Linked DNA regions of Nothobranchius furzeri. The protein of the gene in region 3 interacts with the protein of the main gene of each other region in a pairwise test. Links are inferred from orthologs where the notes say so. Each region holds a gene or a part of one and is shown on either strand. Other genes may lie near its edges. The genes, in order: asb6, enoph1, rnf41 and homer2.

What was found.
Region 1: the proteins of rnf41 (region 3) and asb6 interact in binary tests that used the Homo sapiens proteins (3 or more experiments, as listed by UniProt). The link is inferred for Nothobranchius furzeri from reciprocal best matches to the Homo sapiens genes RNF41 and ASB6.
Region 2: the proteins of rnf41 (region 3) and enoph1 interact in binary tests that used the Homo sapiens proteins (3 or more experiments, as listed by UniProt). The link is inferred for Nothobranchius furzeri from reciprocal best matches to the Homo sapiens genes RNF41 and ENOPH1.
Region 4: the proteins of rnf41 (region 3) and homer2 interact in binary tests that used the Homo sapiens proteins (3 or more experiments, as listed by UniProt). The link is inferred for Nothobranchius furzeri from reciprocal best matches to the Homo sapiens genes RNF41 and HOMER2.

What each region holds. Positions count from the first base shown.
Region 1 is NC_091757.1:35,485,947-35,491,176, reverse strand, and holds the start of asb6 (ankyrin repeat and SOCS box protein 6), read right to left. Parts: upstream 3,244-5,230; 5' UTR 3,173-3,243; exon of another isoform or gene 3,146-3,172; intron 2,802-3,145; 5' UTR 2,769-2,801; coding exon 2,659-2,768; intron 2,509-2,658; coding exon 2,324-2,508; intron 1-2,323. UniProt on the Homo sapiens protein: Probable substrate-recognition component of a SCF-like ECS (Elongin-Cullin-SOCS-box protein) E3 ubiquitin-protein ligase complex which mediates the ubiquitination and subsequent proteasomal degradation of target proteins.
Region 2 is NC_091746.1:62,893,801-62,899,057, forward strand, and holds the start of enoph1 (enolase-phosphatase E1), read left to right. Parts: upstream 1-2,112; 5' UTR 2,113-2,334; coding exon 2,335-2,419; intron 2,420-2,436; exon of another isoform or gene 2,437-2,641; coding exon 2,642-2,733; intron 2,734-2,872; coding exon 2,873-2,974; intron 2,975-5,257. Other genes in the region: heterogeneous nuclear ribonucleoprotein D0, read right to left, coding at 1,276-1,445. UniProt on the Homo sapiens protein: Bifunctional enzyme that catalyzes the enolization of 2,3-diketo-5-methylthiopentyl-1-phosphate (DK-MTP-1-P) into the intermediate 2-hydroxy-3-keto-5-methylthiopentenyl-1-phosphate (HK-MTPenyl-1-P), which is then dephosphorylated to form the acireductone 1,2-dihydroxy-3-keto-5-methylthiopentene (DHK-MTPene).
Region 3 is NC_091755.1:37,149,141-37,154,468, reverse strand, and holds the start of rnf41 (E3 ubiquitin-protein ligase NRDP1), read left to right. Parts: upstream 1-2,142; 5' UTR 2,143-2,267; intron 2,268-2,986; 5' UTR 2,987-3,082; intron 3,083-5,073; 5' UTR 5,074-5,093; coding exon 5,094-5,183; intron 5,184-5,328. Other genes in the region: uncharacterized protein, read right to left, coding at 1-1,249. UniProt on the Homo sapiens protein: Acts as E3 ubiquitin-protein ligase and regulates the degradation of target proteins. Polyubiquitinates MYD88. Negatively regulates MYD88-dependent production of pro-inflammatory cytokines.
Region 4 is NC_091749.1:41,495,679-41,500,256, forward strand, and holds part of homer2 (homer protein homolog 2), read left to right. Parts: intron 1-663; coding exon 664-795; intron 796-1,028; coding exon 1,029-1,121; intron 1,122-1,560; coding exon 1,561-1,700; intron 1,701-2,962; coding exon 2,963-3,119; intron 3,120-3,659; coding exon 3,660-3,770; intron 3,771-3,778; exon of another isoform or gene 3,779-3,793; coding exon of another isoform or gene 3,794-3,834; intron 3,835-4,578. UniProt on the Homo sapiens protein: Postsynaptic density scaffolding protein. Binds and cross-links cytoplasmic regions of GRM1, GRM5, ITPR1, DNM3, RYR1, RYR2, SHANK1 and SHANK3.

The DNA.
Region 1 (5,230 bases), on a different chromosome or scaffold from region 3:
TTCATTTTCAGCTTTCTGGTTGATGGCAGCAGATTTTTATCCAGATTTTTGTCCCAGTACATTTCTTCACTCATCCTGCGTTCAATAATATGAAGTCCGCCAGTACCCCTTTCTGAAATGCAGCCCCACATCATGATGCTTCCACCCCAAAACCTAACTGTCATAGGTGGGCAGTGCCATTTCTTCTTCAAACATGGTGTGTAGAACGACAGCCAAAAGTTCAATTTTGCTTTCATCTGACCATACTACAGACTCCCAGTAACCTCGGCTGCACACTGAAAGCTTCAGCGACGTGGAACGGTTTACCCGCGATAATCACTGCACTTAAGTGCACACCAAGAGTCTCAGCAGCGAAGCAGCTTCTCTGCCATGCTCTTCGTTCAACTTGCAAGATCACAATATCCCTCGAGACTTCTGCCAACCTCCTCGCAAGACCACACGATCCCTCGAGACTTTAAAGGTTACGGTTTGTTAATGCAATCCACCATAAGAGGAGGGGTACCCAGAGTAGTTTTGGCTCGTTAAATAACAACAGACAGCTACAGCTTATAATTTTGACTCTCCCATATTCCAGTTAGAATTGACAAAGCTCCTCAGATGAGAAGTGAAACATCTTTGAGAAACCAAAGAAGTCCAGTTGCCCTCATTTGAACCTTTTTGGATTACCATGACCTGGATGACCGAGAACCTTCACCAGCATACAATCCACTATTGAACAAAAAAAGAAGGAAATCACGTCGTTATCGCTGTTTGATGTCATAAATTATGTTGTTCCTCTCCACTGCCAGGATAAAAGCCACGAAAACACACCGCTGCACTTTGGGAATGATGCTTTGAGTAAATAAACCGTTAGGTCACACGTAAGCTTCATAAATATGTAATTGCTTCACTGCAATACTTTTATTTAGAAAATTACTGGGGATTTTACACTGAAACTGATTTCCTGTCTAGCCCTATGTTAACTGCGATAATTGATGCATCCCAGAAGCGACTCACCACAAAAATAGAACCCGATCCTACTATGACGGTGCGACATGCTGCTTCTGGGACATGTCTGAAAATTGCCACACCGCGGCTGCTTTGTTACACTCCATTGAAAATAATGGATTTTATTTGAAGCAGTGCCGTTTCGCACCACTGACGCTTCCACTGTGCAGTAGGGGTTAAACTTACTGCACATTGGAAGCAAAAGTGGCAAGGTTTCACTCTTAATACTGACTGTAATTTCAGGTGGTCTCCTGGCTTTCTTTGCCATTTTGCACATTGTTACCCTCCTTCATGTATTTAATACTTTTTCCCTGTGTTATTTGTGTAAGCGGGGTAAGTTATATGTAAGTGATGTGTAACTTTATTACACATAATTTATGAACTTAAAAGTTTAGATGTCTTTGAATGAATTAAACACTTGAGTTGAAAGTGACTGATGGACATTTTGTGTCAGTAACTCATTTAGAAAAACGCTTACTGATGAAATTACTGATGTGTCCAGATAGGAATATCCAACCTCTGAAATGAGGGGTCTGTTGCTATGATGTGCTGCAAAGTCAAGTGCATAAAAATGTTTCATTCATACTTTAAATGAAGTTAAAACAAGTTAGTAAAATACAAAAAGTTTGAATGCATTTTTGATGACATTGCTGGTGTTTCAGCAGGTTCTTATTGTGTTTTTAGCAGCATTTATTATTGAGTTTTTAAACACTTTTATTAAATTGTTTAAACTCTAAAATTTTATTCATTTACTATTTTACTTAAATTTAAATTTCCTAAAACCATCTGCTTAATAAATGCTCTAAAACAACTGACATTTATTTTGATTTACCAGTTTTATAATGAAATGTTTCAATGCTGTGCAATGCACAAAATTAAAATTGATGGGTTGGTAAAATTCAGTGTTCAAAAACTGATTTAGGTTCAGAAATGTACACCCATTCTTGTTATTAACAAAATTTTAGCTTGCAAATAAGGAGGAAAACATCTAAATATCAGCCATGAAAATTAGCCCAAAGAATCAGGACCAACGATCAGCCATCGGCTAAACATGACCTTTACATACATGCATCTGATTCTGCAATAGAAAAACCCATATCAGAGACATGCAGCAATGAGATGAAGAGAAGAAGTTATCTACACGTAAAACACACATTTAACACTTACTACAAGGTAATATTGTAACAACAACCAAAGAGCATCTATGTCTCAATAAACATTTTCAGTAAATTTAGTTTTTGATATATTTGTGCATTACCGCACATCCCTAAATGAGCAATCCTCCTTTTTCCTGGAGTGTTTGCAAACTTGGACACACTATCCAAGGATGACTCACCTTCAAAGTTGATATCAGCTCCATATTGTAGAAGGATTTCTGCGGCATACTCAAGTCCCCGCTCGGCCACTTTAAACAGAGCATAGCTGATGCCTTCCAAAAACACTTCAGACTGGGACTCTTGTTCCAGAAGCTCCACCAAAGAGCTGCTTCTACTGGACTCATCCTCGGGACTTTTGGCACAACTGAAAGATAAGTAAATGTCTCATCCAAAGCTTTAAAAAAAATCAATTTATATTTTAAATGCAGTGGTTGTTACGATACAGAAACTGATCATGATATAAAAAAAATTACCCGTTAATGTAATGTTGTTGTTTTTTTTTTAGCAGAATTACCTGGTGTCTTGACTGCCATCTTCTTCCTCAAGTCCAACAACACGCATGACAGCATTTACAAGCGGCTGATACTCAAAAATGATCCTCCGGAACCCGTGGAGGAAAGGCATGGTTTTTACACTTGTACACACTCCAACAAAACTCTAGCGTGGCCAGAATCCAAAAGAAAATCAAAAAGGAGATGTGTCAGCGCGACTTACAGAGCGGGATTAAAAACAACGTGAGTTCAGCGGACCTCCATGAGTATGTAACAGAGCAGAAATTATGTAAAAATTGTGAATAAAACGTCTTAAATAAACGCTATCTGTTCATAGAAAGTAGGTCGATTTTGTTATCTCCCCGTGAACATATTTACCTCATTCGTTCATAAGACATCTAAAACTACAGATAATTGAAGCTTCACTGATTAAATTATTAGCTTTAATTATTTATACATTATCTTTGTCAAAAAAAGTGAATTTACTTAATGGATGAATAAAACTCTTACAATAATACAGTGCAGACTGGTACTTACGAGCCTTTGATTTCAAAACAGGAAGTTAACATGAACACCCCTGTGGTCCCACGGTGATTGCCTTCCCATTTAAACTGCATGACTAAAGTTCCGGTTTGCAGTGTAAAATAAAATAAAATAAAATAAAATAAAATAAAATAAAATAAAATAAAAATCATGTTGTTTTATATCTAAAAGGCTATGCGTTCAATTGGGAACAATGCATTCTAGTAATAAAAAAGGAAGCAAACTAAGAACCTATAGATCTGTTGAATTTATGTTTCTGAGCACTAACTTTGGAAAGATGTTGCTGACACTGATGAAACAGACGATTAGGCTAATTTGATTAAACACAAGCAAAGAAAAAGAAGCTGTTATGATACGTTTTATTTGTAATGTAGAACTTGGTGTCGGCTTTGAAGGAAAGATGATAAAAAAAATTGCAAAGCTATTAATTCCACTTCCATATGGAGAAATGTTTAGTAAAATTACTTGTTCTCTATTCAAATTTGATACTAGCAACTCACATGTGTAAAAGTTATTGTCGGGACACAATTGAACACTGTAAACATTTTTTTTAACAATAAATAATTTTCACTAGTCTAAAGATGGCCTAATATAATTTGGTATAATTTGCTTTAAAACCCTTCAAATGTTATTTCACTTGAATGAACATGTAAAATGCTGTCTCTTTCACTTTGGAGACACATTATTAAACTGTGGGTGATGGAGTTTCAAACTGCTCAAGATGGTCTTTAAAAGTTTCTTTTGAATGATTAACAGGCATTTAAAACATTAGTGTGGTAAAATGTAATAGGCTGGTTTTTGTTTCTGTGATTTAGATAATATTTGTGTTTGAATTTCACCCATTTTTTTTTCCAATATTAAGTTAGATTTCTCCTCCCTAATACAGTTTTTGCAGCTTACATTCATCTCCCCAAACACAACAGTACCATTAACATTTAACATACCACTTTCATTCAGCAATCAAATCACTGATAAGTTAGTAACTGACATGTCAGTTTTGACCAAGAAATGTTCTTTGTTTGTTTTTCACTACTGCAGTCATCTGGTGGTACTTTTTGTTTTAATTATTTGTATCTCCATAAGGTACATTATTGTCCAGCAGCAGGAATTCCAATTTTTACTACTTAATTTCATTGACAGCATCAGTTTTCTAACGTTTGCTTTTGTCCTGCTCAGCAAACGAACCCCTGAGTTGGTAACAGATGGCTGTCTTTGAAAACTACTGAGAAGGGCTCTCATACAAGATGTCACTTTTGAAACATGCACATTGTGTTTTCTGTGTGAGCTAACGGCAGCAAATTTGAACAAAACATATGTTGTTCTTGTCAGACTGCCTCGGGTATGTAGAGACGCAAAGGATCTGCTCTAGGAAACCCACTTTAATGTTTCTTTGCTTATGATATTAGGACAACTTTGATTTGAATAGCTGTAGAAAAAATAAGGAAAGATGCCAATCAAAAAATCTTAAAGTAAAACTCTAAAAACGACTGTTCTTTGAAACTTTGGATGCAGTTTGTGACTTCATTGCTGTGTGGATGCTCAGTCTTTAGGTGGCAGCATTGCAGTGCTCACATCCTGCCTCTAGGATCTATAATCCACAGCTGTTATTACACAGCTCATGCATCAGTAAACGTTTTTATGTGTGCATGAAAGTGAACTTAACTCATCATGTAAATGTGACCATGTACTGAATCCCAGACAAACTTTGCTGGTAGAATTCATTTGGCAAATTGAGAGCTCCACTTGTGTAACAGAAAACAGAATTCAGTCATTTGATCAGATTGATTCATTCTAATTTTGCCATATTTAAGGCAATTAACACAATCACAATCTGAGTAACCTGATCAATAAAGCAGTGCTCCTAGAATGTCTGCCCTTTAGAGCATATTATCTCTCAAAAGTCTCTTTTGCTCTTTTCACAGGTGTACTTAATTTATCCACAACCCATTACTAATAACCTTTCCTTTGCCGCTGCTGGTGAGTGAGTCTTTCTGAACAGTTTCTTCACTGTTCGTTTGTTGAAGCAGACAATCTCGTTTCCCCACTGCCACT
Region 2 (5,257 bases), on a different chromosome or scaffold from region 3:
AGGAAAATCTTGCCTAATAAGCACTGGAGGAAACCCTGTCAAGATCGTTAACACTTGTTTATCTTACTGCTATTGAAACATGTAAACCAAAATGCATTATATCCATTGCTACCTTTCTAATTTTAAACTCAGTAACTTATGCTGTAACGTCACCTTGCTCTGCCTGCTCCTTTCTTCTTGCTGCCCGCCGGCTGTGATCACAAGCGACAACATAGTAGTTCCCGCTGCTTCTTCGGGAAACAGCGCATGGCGGGCCGCCACGGCTACGCCTATGTAAGGGAAACCCTGTATTTTAAAACATTTTCTAAATGCTTTTTTATATTTTTACATTTTTTTTTGTTTTTGTGAAGAGCCTCGTGATTTTTATCTTGAGAGGCACTATAGAAATGATATTTTCTTCTTCTTCTATTCTCTTACAGTACCAGTTGATCACTTTTTTTGAAGAATTTATTTGAGATTTTCTGGTTTTTATTAATTGTGCAATAGACAAATAATAATTAGATTAATCGCCATTAGAAAAGTCAACTATTCGATAAAATAATCGTCAGAATAATCATTTTAAAACTAATCGTTTACCCCCAGCCCTAACACCAAAGTAACTTGAGGTCTTAAGGGGAGACTGTGCAGTGTCTCTCCTTAAGCCCTCCTCCAAATAACCATGTTATTAGGGCAAGAATCTGACAATATGACAAATATCACAATAAAGGGGAGATGATACGATATAATGCAATACTAAAAGCCACATGATTAGCTATTTTAAAGACTGAATTTAATTTTAAATCACTCCAGACGCTTTCAAGACACATCCAGCGTTTTCTCGAGATCTTGTCGTTCCATCAGAATGAAGGCAGTAAAACTGCTGCTACCTAGCAGTCAGAGTTTGAATTGCATCAAACAAAATAATTACAGTAAATGTTAACATTTAAATTGTGAATTACAAACATCGAGAAATATTGATTCAGTGACATGAAATATCACAGCATTGATTTTCTTGCATTCCAACTGATTATGGTTATATCTAAACGGAGTGAGACAGCAGAGTCAACAACATGCTAAAGAAATGTGTCCCGTTATTCTCACTTTGACTACTCAACATAAACATCTTTATAATTGTGTAAATGTATTAAGTCTTACCGATTTCCTTGCTGAATTTGTCTCTATATGTACTTATGCAGATGTAGCATCCATGTTGTATATCCTTCATATAAGTCCAAAAGCTTTGACTGAGAGTGAAATAATAAATGACCGCGTTATGAAGCTGGAACAGTAACATACCCTTCGTCCTCCTCGTTTTTACTGGCGTCAATCCTCGACCCTTCGGCCTCGCCTCCCATCGTCAGGCCACAGTCCCCACTAGCGGACATCGGGTCGTCGTTGTTAGCATCTCCATCCTCCTCCATTCTCATCAGGCTCGAGCCTTCGCTGAATTCATAATCCTTCGACATATTTTGGTTTTTTCAGGCACCTAATTTTTAACTAAAGCGGCACCGGGAATTTTTGAGAAAATACAAATTCACAAAAAAATAGAAGTTGCGCTACAGATAGCTAGTGGCTAGCTAATATTTATTATCAAATACCATCAGATAAAAAAACGAAGCAAACGCAAACCGTGTAGCTTCTTCACGGAAACATCTAAGGTTTTGATTAACAGAAATTTAAAGCGTTTAAACTGATAATTAACTATCTTCCAAATGTTATTTTAATAATAAGAGCGTCGTTTTGTGTCGTTTTTTATCACCGTCACCGGATTCTTCTTCTCTGTTTTAAAAACGGATGAATTAGGAAACCAAACCGGGAACAGCGTCACCCAAACGTGCCGGTGTTACGTCGAAATGTGTGACCCCGTTGAAAACTGTTTCTCCCACTGGCTTTGCCCTGCCCCCTTGTGTTCGGTTCAGATGTAAAGAGATTCACACAGCTTTATCGCACATCCGACTCGCCTCATCAAAAAGTACATAATTTAAGTTATATATTTTCTTCACCTAACATTTTTGTCTTCGCAGTCGCACAAATATATTTGCCGAGGAACACCTATGACGACCATGCTGATGCTGACAGCAGCGAACAGTTTCAGACGGGGTAACCTATACAACATCTAAGTGTAAACATTAAACACGGTTAAAATAAACGTTCTTTGAACGGCAGATTATAATTTCAAGTGAACGTAAAGAGAAAATTAAAAATTGAATGGAAAATATACGGTGTGTGTGTTTTACGTAGAATATTTATCTAGTCAGCTAACACCCTCAAAGAAATAGCACACACGTAACAATGAATTCTAATTATTTTCTGACATGCAAAACAAAATATTATTAATTGTAAACTGTTCAAAATATGTTTTTAAATGATGAGTCCTTGCTATTAAAATACTCAGTATCGTCACCTAGTGAGTTGGAGGTGAATTGTCAGACCGGAACATGTGAGTTAGTTGTTGCATTGTGTGTTCGCTAAAGTAATGGCTTGAATAATCACGTAGCAGAGATCAACTAAAGCCATTTCCTGCTCATTTATAATCTCGGTTTTGCGGTATTCGACCTGGACACGCACGTGGGAACAGAGCCTCGCTGTAACACCACACTATTTAAGCTAAGCTATCGTTAGCTAAGATAAGAACCTCCACCATCCTTGTGTTTTATTCTAGTTACAGAAATGGCCACTGTTTCTATTCCTGCTCGCACTACAACAATCTTGTTGGACATCGAGGGAACCACTACACCAATTACATTCGTTAAGGTGAGTTACATTTGTTTTTATTGTATTAGGTGGGTCCAACCGTAATGCTAAGTAAAGAGCTAACAGTTGCATACGGCTAAAAACTGCCTGTTTCTAACAACTGAAAACTAATACACTCCGGGCTTTGTCACTTTTCCAGGATATTTTGTTTCCTTACATCAGGGAGCATCTGGAGGATCACCTGTCCACTCACTGGGAGGAAGACGAGTGCAAACAAGATGTGCATTTGCTAAAGAAACAGGTATGATTAAAGCCTTAAAGTGAAATTAAAGTGAAAATAAATATTTAAATGGAGCCTTAAAAAATATATCTATCATGATTATGATAGAAAGATTAAAATAAAAATACAAGGAAATCCAATAATTGAAGAAAAACAATTACAATTTATAAAATGGCCTATAAAGCCCAAAGTAAAAGAAATGCAATTTAAAATTCTCAACAACTACTATCCATCAGCAGAGACACTGAGGAAGAGATTTGGTTTTGAAGTTGACCCTTGTGAATTCTGTCAGGGAAGCCCTGAAGAAATAGAACACTTATTTTTCAGCTGTCATATAAGTAAGAGGTTTTGGGAAGAAGTCCATTGTTGGTTAAGAAATAAAATAAGAGAACTTGATCATTTTACAAATGAAGATATTCTTATTTACAATTCTAAATTAAAGGGGAATAATTCATTGTTAATTAACAGTATTATTATTATTATGGGTAAATACCACATCCACAAAAGCAAATGGAAAAAACAACTGCCAAACATGAACTGTTTCACAAATGAATTCCATATGTTCTTATCCACTTTGACTCGTATAAAAAATTCAAATGCAACTGCAAAAGCCATTTGTCATGCTGCAGAAAAATGTTTAATCTTGTAACAATGTTTTTACTTTGTGATATAAGTGCCTCTTTTTAAGTTTCTTATTTGTTTTTCTTTTATTGTTACTAAAGATGCCTTGTATGTTTCTATTATGTGTTGTTGTCTCATGAGAAATTGTAATAAGCATTTAATGATAATAGAAAAAAAAGAAGAAAACACATTTTAGTTTAAAAAACAACTAATGCATTTTGATTTAGCAATAAATGTTTAAGTTATTAAATAAAAATAAAAGTCTACCAAATTCACTCAAATAACAACAAATGCAGTTGTTTTTTTTTTTACTTTTTTTGTCTAAATAAACTTAATATACAAAAAAAGGTATGATTAAAGCCACAGTGTGATGTTTTTACCAGTTTACTATCAAATCCTGTGCTTACAGTTGACAAACTTGTCCTTTTTCACTAATATTTCTCACCAACATCAATTCTAAATATTCCTCTCAACCTGAAATTATACGTTTTTAAATACATAAACTATGGTCGACGCTCCATGGTCATCCACCATCTTAAAATACAGTAGCTGTCTAGGGACTAGGGCTGCAACAACGAATCGATAAATTCGATGAAAATCGATTACTAAAAGCGTTGGCAACGAATTGCGTCATCGATTCGTTGTGTCGCACAACTCTTCCAAAAGCGCCCCCCCTTCCCGCCCGCCGTTGCGCGCAGACCAGAGCAAGTCAGATCAGCGCGAGGGAGAGCCGATCAGCGCGAGGGAGAGCCGCAGATCAGCGCGAGGGAGAGCCCACAGATCAGCGCGAGGGAGAGCCGGTACCGGCAGATCAGCGCGAGGGAGAGCCGGCAGACTTGCGCTGCTGCGAACCGGTTCCGCATTGTTGTGCAGCGATCCAGGCAGCTGCTTCCAGCGCACGGTCCATTCTCAAAGTGGTTCAACCAAAAAACTATAATTAGCACACGATCGTTCATGTCCGCACATGTTCTCTATTTTGTCTTATTTGTGCCTGAAGCGCGCTACTGCGGAGCTCATCACCTGTGCTGTGGTGATTTCACCTCACGCAGCATCGAAAACGCGCTCTCCGCTGTGTGGTCAGGAGATCCCTTTGATCTGCTCAAAAGTAACTGATGAGGTGAAAAGGTAAGAATCCAGGCAACAGATTTTCTGGAGAATTAAGAGGAGATGCAGGAAGATGAGAGACAGACAGGACAGGAAAATAGTTAAATAAAAACAAGAAAACAAAACAAAGTGTTGAAAAGTAAAAAGTAGGCAGATTTATCTCCACTACACGTTTTTACCTGTAAAAAACAATAAGTTATACATACACATGTTATATTTATACATCTGATACAATTCAGATCACCTTCAAAACTCAGTCACACACCCAGGGCCGTTTCAAGACATTTTGGGGGCCAAAGCAAAATGCCCCCCCCCCCCCCCCCCCCATAACTGGGCTCCCCAGAAGCCTCTGTGTAATTCATACCCTCTCCAGTAGTGTTAGTTATACAGTGTTTATAAAAGCCCCTCAGACATTACTGACATGTTCTAATATTATCAGATGAAAAACTAAATGATCAGACATGCTGTCTCATCTGCTGCTTTTCTAAACTTTTTAAAAGTAACAAAACCATGTGAAAGCCACCATTTGTGGATTCTCTGAAAGTTTCCATGGAGTGTGTGACAACTTATTTTTTCATT
Region 3 (5,328 bases):
ATCTCGTTCCATCAGAATGTCTCAGTACATTATTACCTCGCTTGAAGATGACCGTTGCTCCATTGGTAGTAGCTGCCTTCACAGAGAAAATGTCTTGTGGATATGAAGGGATGTATAGTGCTCTCTTTAGCACCACCTTGTGTTGGACCCCTCTGCTGTCGATCAAGGTTACCACAGCCTCTCCTCTCCGTTCAGCCACTCCTCTGCTCCGGGTTCCGTCTGCCAGCTCGATGTAATGCGACCTCGGCTCGAAGTCCTCGTCGAACCTCCTGAACCTCTCTGGATCCGTGATAATGTGGGACGTTGCTCCTGTGTCCACCATCAGATTCCTGGTTCTGGTTTCGTCCATCTCGCCGTCAGCGTCTTGTAGTCGGAATGCGTATTCCTTTCCCTCGTAGTCATCAGCAGCTTTCCGTGCTTCATCATCTCTGTGTTTCTTTCTGCACACTTCAGTCTGGTGCGTGGTGGTCTTGCAATGCCTACACCACTTTTTGCGGTCACATACATTAGCTTTGTGTCCCTTTTTACCGCATTTAAAACAAATAAAGTCTTTACTATCAGCGCTCCGCTCGTGCATGCTTGGTTGAACATATTTCGGCTTCAGGTGCTTGACCCTCTCATTCATCCGTGCTGCCATCACATTGTCCTCTGTGGCAGTGTCCACACGCAGTTTTTCAGTTTCTTCATAACTTCTCAGTTTACTTTTAAATTCTGAAAAAGTCATGTCATCATCACTTTGTGTCACATGGATTCTAAAAGGCGTAAATGAGTCAGGTAGACCTTTTAAAACCATTGCTATTAGCAGTCCATCGCTCAAAGTTTCACCTGCGGTTCTCAGCGCTGTAATGGCGGCCTCGGCTCTCAAAACATAATCCGTTACACTCTCGCCGCTCTTCTGCTGTAATGCAGTCAGTTCTGTATATAAGCTTATTATGCGGGGTTTTCCCTTCCCGGCATAGTGTTCTCTCAAGATAATTAGAGCTTTCCGCCCGTCGTCAGCTGCGTCTCTCATCACCAGTGAAAGGCTCTTATCATCCAGGAATTGTATAAGTTCGGCATATGCCTCTGCGTTCTTTGAATCATATTCCTCATCATCGTCATCGTCTTTCGGTTTTAATATAATGTCTTTCAAACCTTGTAGCCGGAGGTGTCCGAGAAACTTTGTTTCCCACAGTTCATATTTATCCTCGTCTCCGTCAAATACCAGTCTTGACCAGCGGGTACTGGCTTCCACTGTCTTCCGACTCATAGTGTCCGACACACGTCGTAGCTCTCACTCGACTCACCGGACTTGCTGTTGGTCGGTTCTGTGCTCCTCACACGCTAGCAGGATGCTTTCCCAGCTGTCCTGATTAGCTTGGTGCGCAGCGGAAGCGTGCTGGGCCCATAACCTGTTAGCAGAGTTTCGTTTACCCAGCGGTTGGTCCAAGACTCCAAAATGAATCTCCAGGATTAAAAAAAGGAGGAAATAAATCCATAAACAGAGCGTCTGTTTCACGGGCCTTCACTGGTGGTAGCACACACTGATTGCGGCCACTAAAACACCAATGCTCCCTTTTATTGGTCAATTTACGAGGTCAAAGTTTAACTTCCTCTACAGGTACTTTTCAGTATAAAAGCATACATGTATATACACACACACACATTCTTATTTACAAATTTACACAGATGCATAACATAACAGAGCATAACAGAGCACATTAGACTGATGCTTAACAATTATTTCACAAAATTGATCCATTTGAGGCTTTTTTATTGGATGAAATCATAATGGAGGAAATGTATTGTCTGAGCTCTTGAAAACAAACAAACTTTTCAACATGGCATTTAGCTTACATTATTATAATATTAATGTGTTTTTTTAATCTCAATGTCATTTCTGAGGAACCCAAATAACACATTTCTCCATTATAACTTGAAGTCCGGATTAATGTTTATACAATTATTTACCCAAAACTGATTAACAAACAGACAATTAAAAAAAGAATGTACAAAGAAACAGCAGTCCGTTATGAAAGTTTTAACCGGATAAGGACATTTTCGACAGTGTTAGTGATTAACATTGTTTCGGTAAGAGAGACATTTTTCATTATAAAATTCACTTTTGGGATTTCTGCAGTTTTGCGTGATGACGTTTCCCCTCGTGTCGATTGAGACGTAGACTTGTATGACGTAGCACCAAGACGTGATTAGCAAGGGGCTAGTGTTGGTACGACGTCTGAAAACAGCCTGAATTGTGAAAAGGATCTATTTTACTCAATGTCTGAGTAAGTATATCAGTCAGCTGTTATATCTTGAGCAGTGCAGCTGACTGTAAACAGCTATTGGTGTGTGAAGTTGTCTCTAACGGAGGTCAGTCTGGTTAGCTTATAGCTAATGTCCAAAGGAAACCAACGACAGCGTAGCCGCTAGCTGGGCTAGCTAACGTTACATATTCAGAAATCGTGACAGTCAAACTGTGCTGCTGTACTTTGTAAACCATTAAGATATTTTTCTCTTTGACGCATGTTTACGTTATTAAAAATCAAGTTTTTACGATTTAGTTTAAAGTGTTATTATATGCGTGAAGATAACATTGAGAAACCTCGATGCTCAGCTAAGTTTTGTGCTCCTTGCTCTGAAATATGATGGAAACATGTTGATCTCAAAGCTGTTTCTTTTCATTTTTTGGAATCATTCATTTGTTAACCAGGACAGTAGATAAATATGTTTATTGTAAAATCACGTTGAAAAGTCAGCCTGAGGATGTGAATATGTATGAAAATGGCTACGCTCAATTTAAAGTTCAAATTCTTTATCCTCCAAAAAAACTGTCGGTATGGTAAATTTTTTTAGAAAGTACTTAATCTCAGATTTCAGCTAGTTAAACTCATTTGAGTACATTGTGTATACGTGATATGGGATTTAATGTTCTTGCATATGTGGTTTACAATCATCAGACTAAAAGTTTTTTTTTAAATGCAATAATTTTTTCCTTTTTATTCAGGCAGGGTCTGTGTCTTTTTAGGCAGGCAGAGCATTTCTGCCAGATGTGAGGAATCGAGGAGCTGAATGGAAATATTTGAGGCAGTTTGTGTTTGAGGTAAACAAGATGTTCTAACCAGAACTGTAAATTATTATTTTGACAAAATGTCAATCATTTTTTGATAGTAATTATTCATAGATAGTGTAAAAAACCCTTCTCATCTTAGTTTTAGCCAGGTTTGTTTCACAGTACTGGTATTTAGTAGCGTAGCAAGTGTATAAATGTAAATGTAAAAAAACAACCACACACACATATATACAAACAGTGAGCTAAAGAATTAGTTACTGTACTATATTACATTATCTTTCTGAGCACTCCTTTTCTATGGCCGTCTCCAAGTTTAGGTCCTTCACCACCACCCTTACCCATGGTGTCCCACAAGGTTCTCTGCTCTTCCTCCTCTATCTGCTTCCTCTTCAGCACATCCTGAGCTCCTTCAAAGGAATATCCTACCATCTTTATGCAGATGACATCCAACTGTACATCTCCTTTAAGCCCCATGAGATGTCTAAGCTGCAGCTGTTACACACCTGCTTAGACTCTATCAAAACCTGGATGGCTGGGAGCTTTCTTCAGCTGAATGAAGATAAGACTGAGATCCTCATCTGTGCCCCAGACAAGCTGGTTCCCAAAGTCAGAGACTCTCTTGGTCAGCTTGCTTCCCACACCAAACCTTCTGTCAGGAATCTTGGCGTGACCTTTGACCCAGCTCTCACCCTGGATTCTCATGTCATTTCTCTTGTTTGCTCTTCCTTCTTCCATCTCAGGAACGTTGCTAAGCTGAGTCCCATTCTGTCCCGCTCTGAACTTGAGACAGTTCTCCACTCCTTCATCTCCTCATGCTTAGACTACTGTAACTCTCTTTTCACGTGTCTGAGCAGAACCTCCCTGAACCGTCTACAGGTGGTTCGGAATGCCTGTGCTCGGCTTCTGACCAAGTCCTCCAAACACACCCACATCACTCCGCTTCTCCTCCAGCTTCACTGGCTGCCAGTCAACTTCAGGGTTCATTTCAAGATCCTGGTTCTGGTCTATAGGGCCTTACATGGACAAGCACCATCTTACATTGGTGATCTTCTTAGTCCCTACACCCCCAGCAGGTCCCTGAGGTCCGGTGATCAAAGCCTACTGGTTGTGCAGCACCAGACTAAAGACCAAAGGTGACAGATCATTTGCTGCTGTGGCCCCCAGACTCTGGAACTCTCTCCCCCTGAGCCTGAGATCAGTGGACTCAGTGGTCTCCTTTAAAAAGCAGCTGAAGACTCACCTGTTCAAGCTGGCTTTTGTATGACCTTCTTCACCTCTCTCTTTTTGTTCTGCTCTCCCCACCTATTCCACCTTCCTCAGGATCCACTGATTTCCCTCTTTCCTGTTCACTCTCTCTCTTTCTTAACATTTTTTAATTACAATTGCCCATTTTTTTTGCTCATTTAAAATATATTTTTAACCATTTTCTAAATTCTTTTTTATATTTTTTCATTTTTTGTTTTTGTGAAGCGCCTCGTGATTTTTATCTTGAGAAGCGCTATCGAAATGATATTTTCTTCCTCTTCATAATAAACAACATGATGAAACATGTCACCTTCTTGTGTTGAAATCTGTGTAAAATACTTTCGGTTTGGGGGGGGGGGGTGAGATTAAATAATTCAGCATCTCAGAAGCCCTTTTACAATACACACCGCCTTAATCTTATAAAAAGGACACGATTGCACCACATTACCGCCACAGTCTGACCACTTATGAACAACCTAAGGCTCCCTGATGCTGCCACGGCATTGCGGCAAATTAATGGCATTGTTTTGTAAAAATGGCTAGAGTGATAATAGAAACATTTGCTCATCAGGTTGCAGTACAAGCATTGCCAAGTATCTCCATTTCTGCTTTCTGAAAGGCATCTGGGTCATCCATTACAATACGATTTGGGACAATCACATTCCTCCTTTACATTATTTTGTTGACAAAGAAATTTTTAATTACATTAAAACAGCTAATATACCTACTATGTGTAGGTGGTTTATATTTAATCTTTTTTAAATTGTGTTGTTCAGGAGGTTGTAGGTTGTGTACCATGGGGTACGACGTTACGAGGTTCCAGGGTGAGGTAGATGAAGACCTGCTGTGTCCAATATGTAGTGGAGTGCTTGAAGAACCAGTCCAGGTAAGTCAACCACATGTATAAATAATAAAATCTGCTCGTGTTCAGATCGTTATATAGTTTGGTCCCAAGTATGAAATCTGTTCTACCAAAGTTTGTTGTTGCACATCCTAATTATACTTTTTTTTTTGGGTTTGTTTTAATTTTA
Region 4 (4,578 bases), on a different chromosome or scaffold from region 3:
AACCTTTTCTATTTAACATAGCTAGGCTGCAACTGCAAGCTTACCTGCACTTAACCCCACTTGTGGAATGTTTCATTCAAAAAAACCAACAATGAGTATTTCCTGCTTCAGTCACAGCATTTGGATATTACCCAAATCTTTACAAGACTGCTAGCCTTACAGTGTCGATGACATCTGGGAAGGAGGGCGAATTGAAATGTGGGACATTATCCCAGCTTTTGGGACAAGGGACGAGGGACTAAATGTTGTGCAGTTCCACACAAAGGACACCCGGTCACCTTGGCTACAGACAGTGAACATGTTCTGTAAGAAATATGGACCAAAATTTGAGTAAACGTTACTGGGTCAGTAGTCGCTGCTGCAGAGTATTTGTACCTTTTGATGTCTTTGGTTGATTAACAGAAGTACGACCATTTATCTATGATTGTTGAGTAAAATAACTTTTAGGACACTGTTTTCTGTTGCTGAGATTAATGTGCCTGCACTACGTTAATGAATATTTATAATGTTTTCATTTGAGTGTGACTGAGCAGCATCAAGCTGAGCATGTTCCATCCTGATGGAAATCTATGAGAACGATCCTGGAAGTCAATATATTAGTCTGACTCCATCGATGACCGGTCAGATCTCAAGAAATGTAATTGGCTGTTTTATTCCTGACAGGTTATCATCAACAGCACAATCACACCCAACATGACGTTCACCAAAACGTCACAGAAGTTTGGTCAGTGGGCAGACAGCAGGGCCAACACGGTGTTTGGACTGGGTTTTTCTTCAGAGCAGCAGCTGTCAAAGGTGAGATGAAACATTTCTGTAGAAAGCCACTCATGTTGGCTGGAGACTGCAGATGGTTTTAATCACCATGAAGCTGTAAAGGATTTCAGGTTTTGAAGGGAGTAGTTTTATCTGTTCCTGAGATTCTGGATAATTAACTTCATCATTCACCCAAAACGTTTAAAAATGATTACATTTGTAATTTCCTATGGGAGGTTAGCTTGTTCGATCAGTCTTTTGTCTTGTGTTTTCAGTTTGCTGAAAAATTTCAGGAAGTAAAAGATGCTGCCAAAATGGCAAGGGACAAATCTGAAGAGAAGGTGGAGATGGTGATTAATAATTCTCAGGTAAGGCCTCACCCACCCACTGCTGGGTACAGTAGAGGAAAAAATCACCAGTAGTTAAGAGGAAGAGAGAGTTTATGGGTTCTAGTTGTTAATAAGTTGATTTGAATGTCAACAAAATCTAGAACATTCATAAATGACAGGTCAAGGGTCATCTTACACCATAGGTTAGGAAGGTGAGCAGCCATCAAGTCAGAACAAGTAGGCTTTATGAAAAAATACTTCTTTTTTAAAATGTTGTCTGAGTTATCAATCTCCTGCTGCTGCTGACCCACAAAGCTGCCGGCCAATATGATGTGATAAATATTTGCAACAGCATTTTCTCACCCTTCTGCTGACTGCGTGCTCAAGGTCTTTGCAGAAGTAAGACCTGGTCATTTGTTACACATAGAGAGAGTGTATCGTAATACTTCCCCCCCCCCTGTATTTTATTCCCTGCTAGGAGTCTGAACGCCAGACGCCTTCAGCCGACCAGGCGTCAAGCTTTAACGGAACAGATGATGAAAAAATCTCCATCGTCAGTCCAGAGGCCGCCCAGCTGAAGACTGAAAACGAACGTCTGAAGAGCGTCGTAGAGCAGAGGTAAGGTTTTATTTCAAAAAAACTTGGGAAGAACAATTTATTTCATTTCTGCTCAGATGATGTCACAGAAATGACAACGATTCACTCTTCACTCCACTGTTAGCTTATCTGAACTCATTAATCCCAATGCGTGGAAATCTGTTATTGTATGAAACGCCAGATGTGCTTCCAGATGGGATCAAAATGACCTCGGGATGGCGAAGGCAATTAACGGCTACACTAAGTGGTTTTTGCCTAAATTAAATCTGGGTATCTATGAAAATGGTAAAGAGAGTCATATTTTATCCAGGTGGGAAAAGGAGAAAATCTAAAGTGTAACCAAGTTGGGAAATGTCCATTACAGCTGTAGATAATGTTTAGTTTCATAGATTTAAAGGATTCCTGTGTTTTATTTCTGTAACTGCTTTAATGCATAAAAGGGCTTGATTTAAAAAAAAAAATTAAGTATAACATTTTGCATAAATAAAAAAAAATCCACTTTTTTATACTCTCACAACTCCAACAATAAAACAATAACCAACGTTGTCCTCAAGGACACAAGCTTAATTCATAAAACACGATGTTGGGCAGCTTTTATTTTGTTAAGGAATTTTAAATAATTCCTGGACTTTGTGATGTCTTCATGATTTAAATAAACAATAAAATAATATAAATAAATAATGGAAAATTTTATATTGTAAAGACAATAATTTCAGCATAATTACTCTAAACATTTAGAATCGTGTTATGGGTCACTTAAAAAATAGTTAAAAGGAAAAAATCCTGGCATCAGATCCCTGTGTCCTGCTCCTGTTGTTAAAACGTTCAGCTTATTCTCTGTCCCCGTTGGTCCTTCCCGGTCCTCTACGGGGCTTTGGGGTTTATCTTTGTGGAAATGTTGCAGCAGGATGCTGCTGTGCTAGCTTATCCACATTAAATACAGGCTAGAACATTTTAAACCACTCACGCATGAAAAATGCAAATAGCGATGTGAATCATAACCATATTTTAGAAGAAACGCATGCACCCTGTCATCTAAAAAACTAACTGTGTGTTGATACACAAAATATAATAAGAACTTATTTAACTTATGCCTTTTGCTGGGCCTGAATACCACTTGGCAGCATGATGGTGGCTAATTTTAAATCATTACAGAAGGATTTTTGCAGCATTATGTGCCCTGTCAGTAGACACAAGACTCAGCCATTTCACTTCTGCTCAGTCTCAATTTCACTTCCATCATTAACACCCATTAATATGTCTCTGTCTCTCCTGTCTGGCAGCAACGCCAACACCAAGAAGTGGGAAACGGAGCTCCAAACTTTAAAAGAAAATAACGCCAGACTGGAGGATGCACTGCAGGAGTCTTCCTCTAATGTAGAGAGCTGGAAGAAACAGTTCAGCACCTGCAAGGAGGAGAGTGATGCGCTCAGGCAAAAGGTAGCCACAGTGTGTCCTACAGGAAGGCTGAATCACACAACACACACATCAGTCCTGTAGGTGGAGAAACTAGTGACAGCTTAAGATTTCTGTAGTGGCCTCTGACGAAGAGTAGATAAATGATTTGATGCTCCCCACCAGTTGAGTTAATATATTAAAATCTGTCAAGCATGATAAGAGAATCCCTTCTGTAATATTGATGAGGTAAATGTTGATTTCTCTATGGCGAGAAATCAGAATGCATTACGTTTCATTAGCTTCAGTGTTCCCAGCACAAGTCTGAGTCCACTATAAATAGAATCATTTTAGTTTCATAATCAATGTGGGCTGTTTCTGCAGCGGCATGGGCTGCTGTTGCAACAACACTTTAGTCGCATGCTGCCGCTCCTTGTTCTGTTTCAATAAATGTCAGTTTTCAAGATGAGACTAGATTGATACACAAGTCAATAAATGTCATAAAACGTTAATAAAGTAAAAGCAGTCTTGTCGGCAGATGAAACTTGACTAAAAGGGAACCCTCTTGTTTTATTCTTTGCTCAGATTGCAGAACTTGAGGCCCAGTGTAACGAAGCCAACCAGGAGAAGCAGAAAAACGCCCAGCTGACCGCTCGAGTGAAGGAGCTGGAGGCTGAGCTGCAGGAGAAGGAGCAGGTGAGACTGCAGCATTTTGGTCTTTAAAACAACAGGCTCGCTTTCTGGAACTGGACTCTCTCTGCTGTTAAATAAGAGTTTACACGCACGCACGCACACACACACACACACACACACACACACACACACACACACACACACACACACACACACACACACACACACACACACACACACACACAGATATATTTCAAATGTGTATTGACTTCATTTTGATCATTATAACTGACAACTAATAAAAATCCTAAATTCAGAGTCACAGAATATTAGAATATTGTGAAAAGGTTCAATTTTGAAGACCTCTGGTGCAACATCCCAACCTGCAAAAGCCTTTAAATGGTCTCTCAGTCTAGTTCTGTAGGCTACTCAATCATGGGGAGGACTGCTGACTTGACAGTTGTCCAAAAGACGACCATTGACACCTTGCACAAGGAGGGCAAGACACAAAAGATCATTGCTAAAGAGTCTGGCTGCTCACAGAGCTCAGTGTCCAAGCACACCAATAGACAGGAGAAGGAAAGGACAAGATCTGGTAGGAAAAAAGTGGACCACAATAGAGATAACGGCACCCCGGAGAGGATGGTGAAAACAAAACCCATTCAGGAATGTAGGGAAGATTTACAAAGAGTGGACTGCAGCTGGAGTCAGCAAACCACCACGCACAGACGTTTGCAAGACATGGGTTTCTGCTGTCGCATTCCTTGTGTGTCAAACCACTCATGAACAAGAGACGGCATCAGACATGTTAAAGTGCTAAAGACAAAAAGGACTGGACTGCTGCTGAGTGGTCCAAAGTATGTTCTCTGAT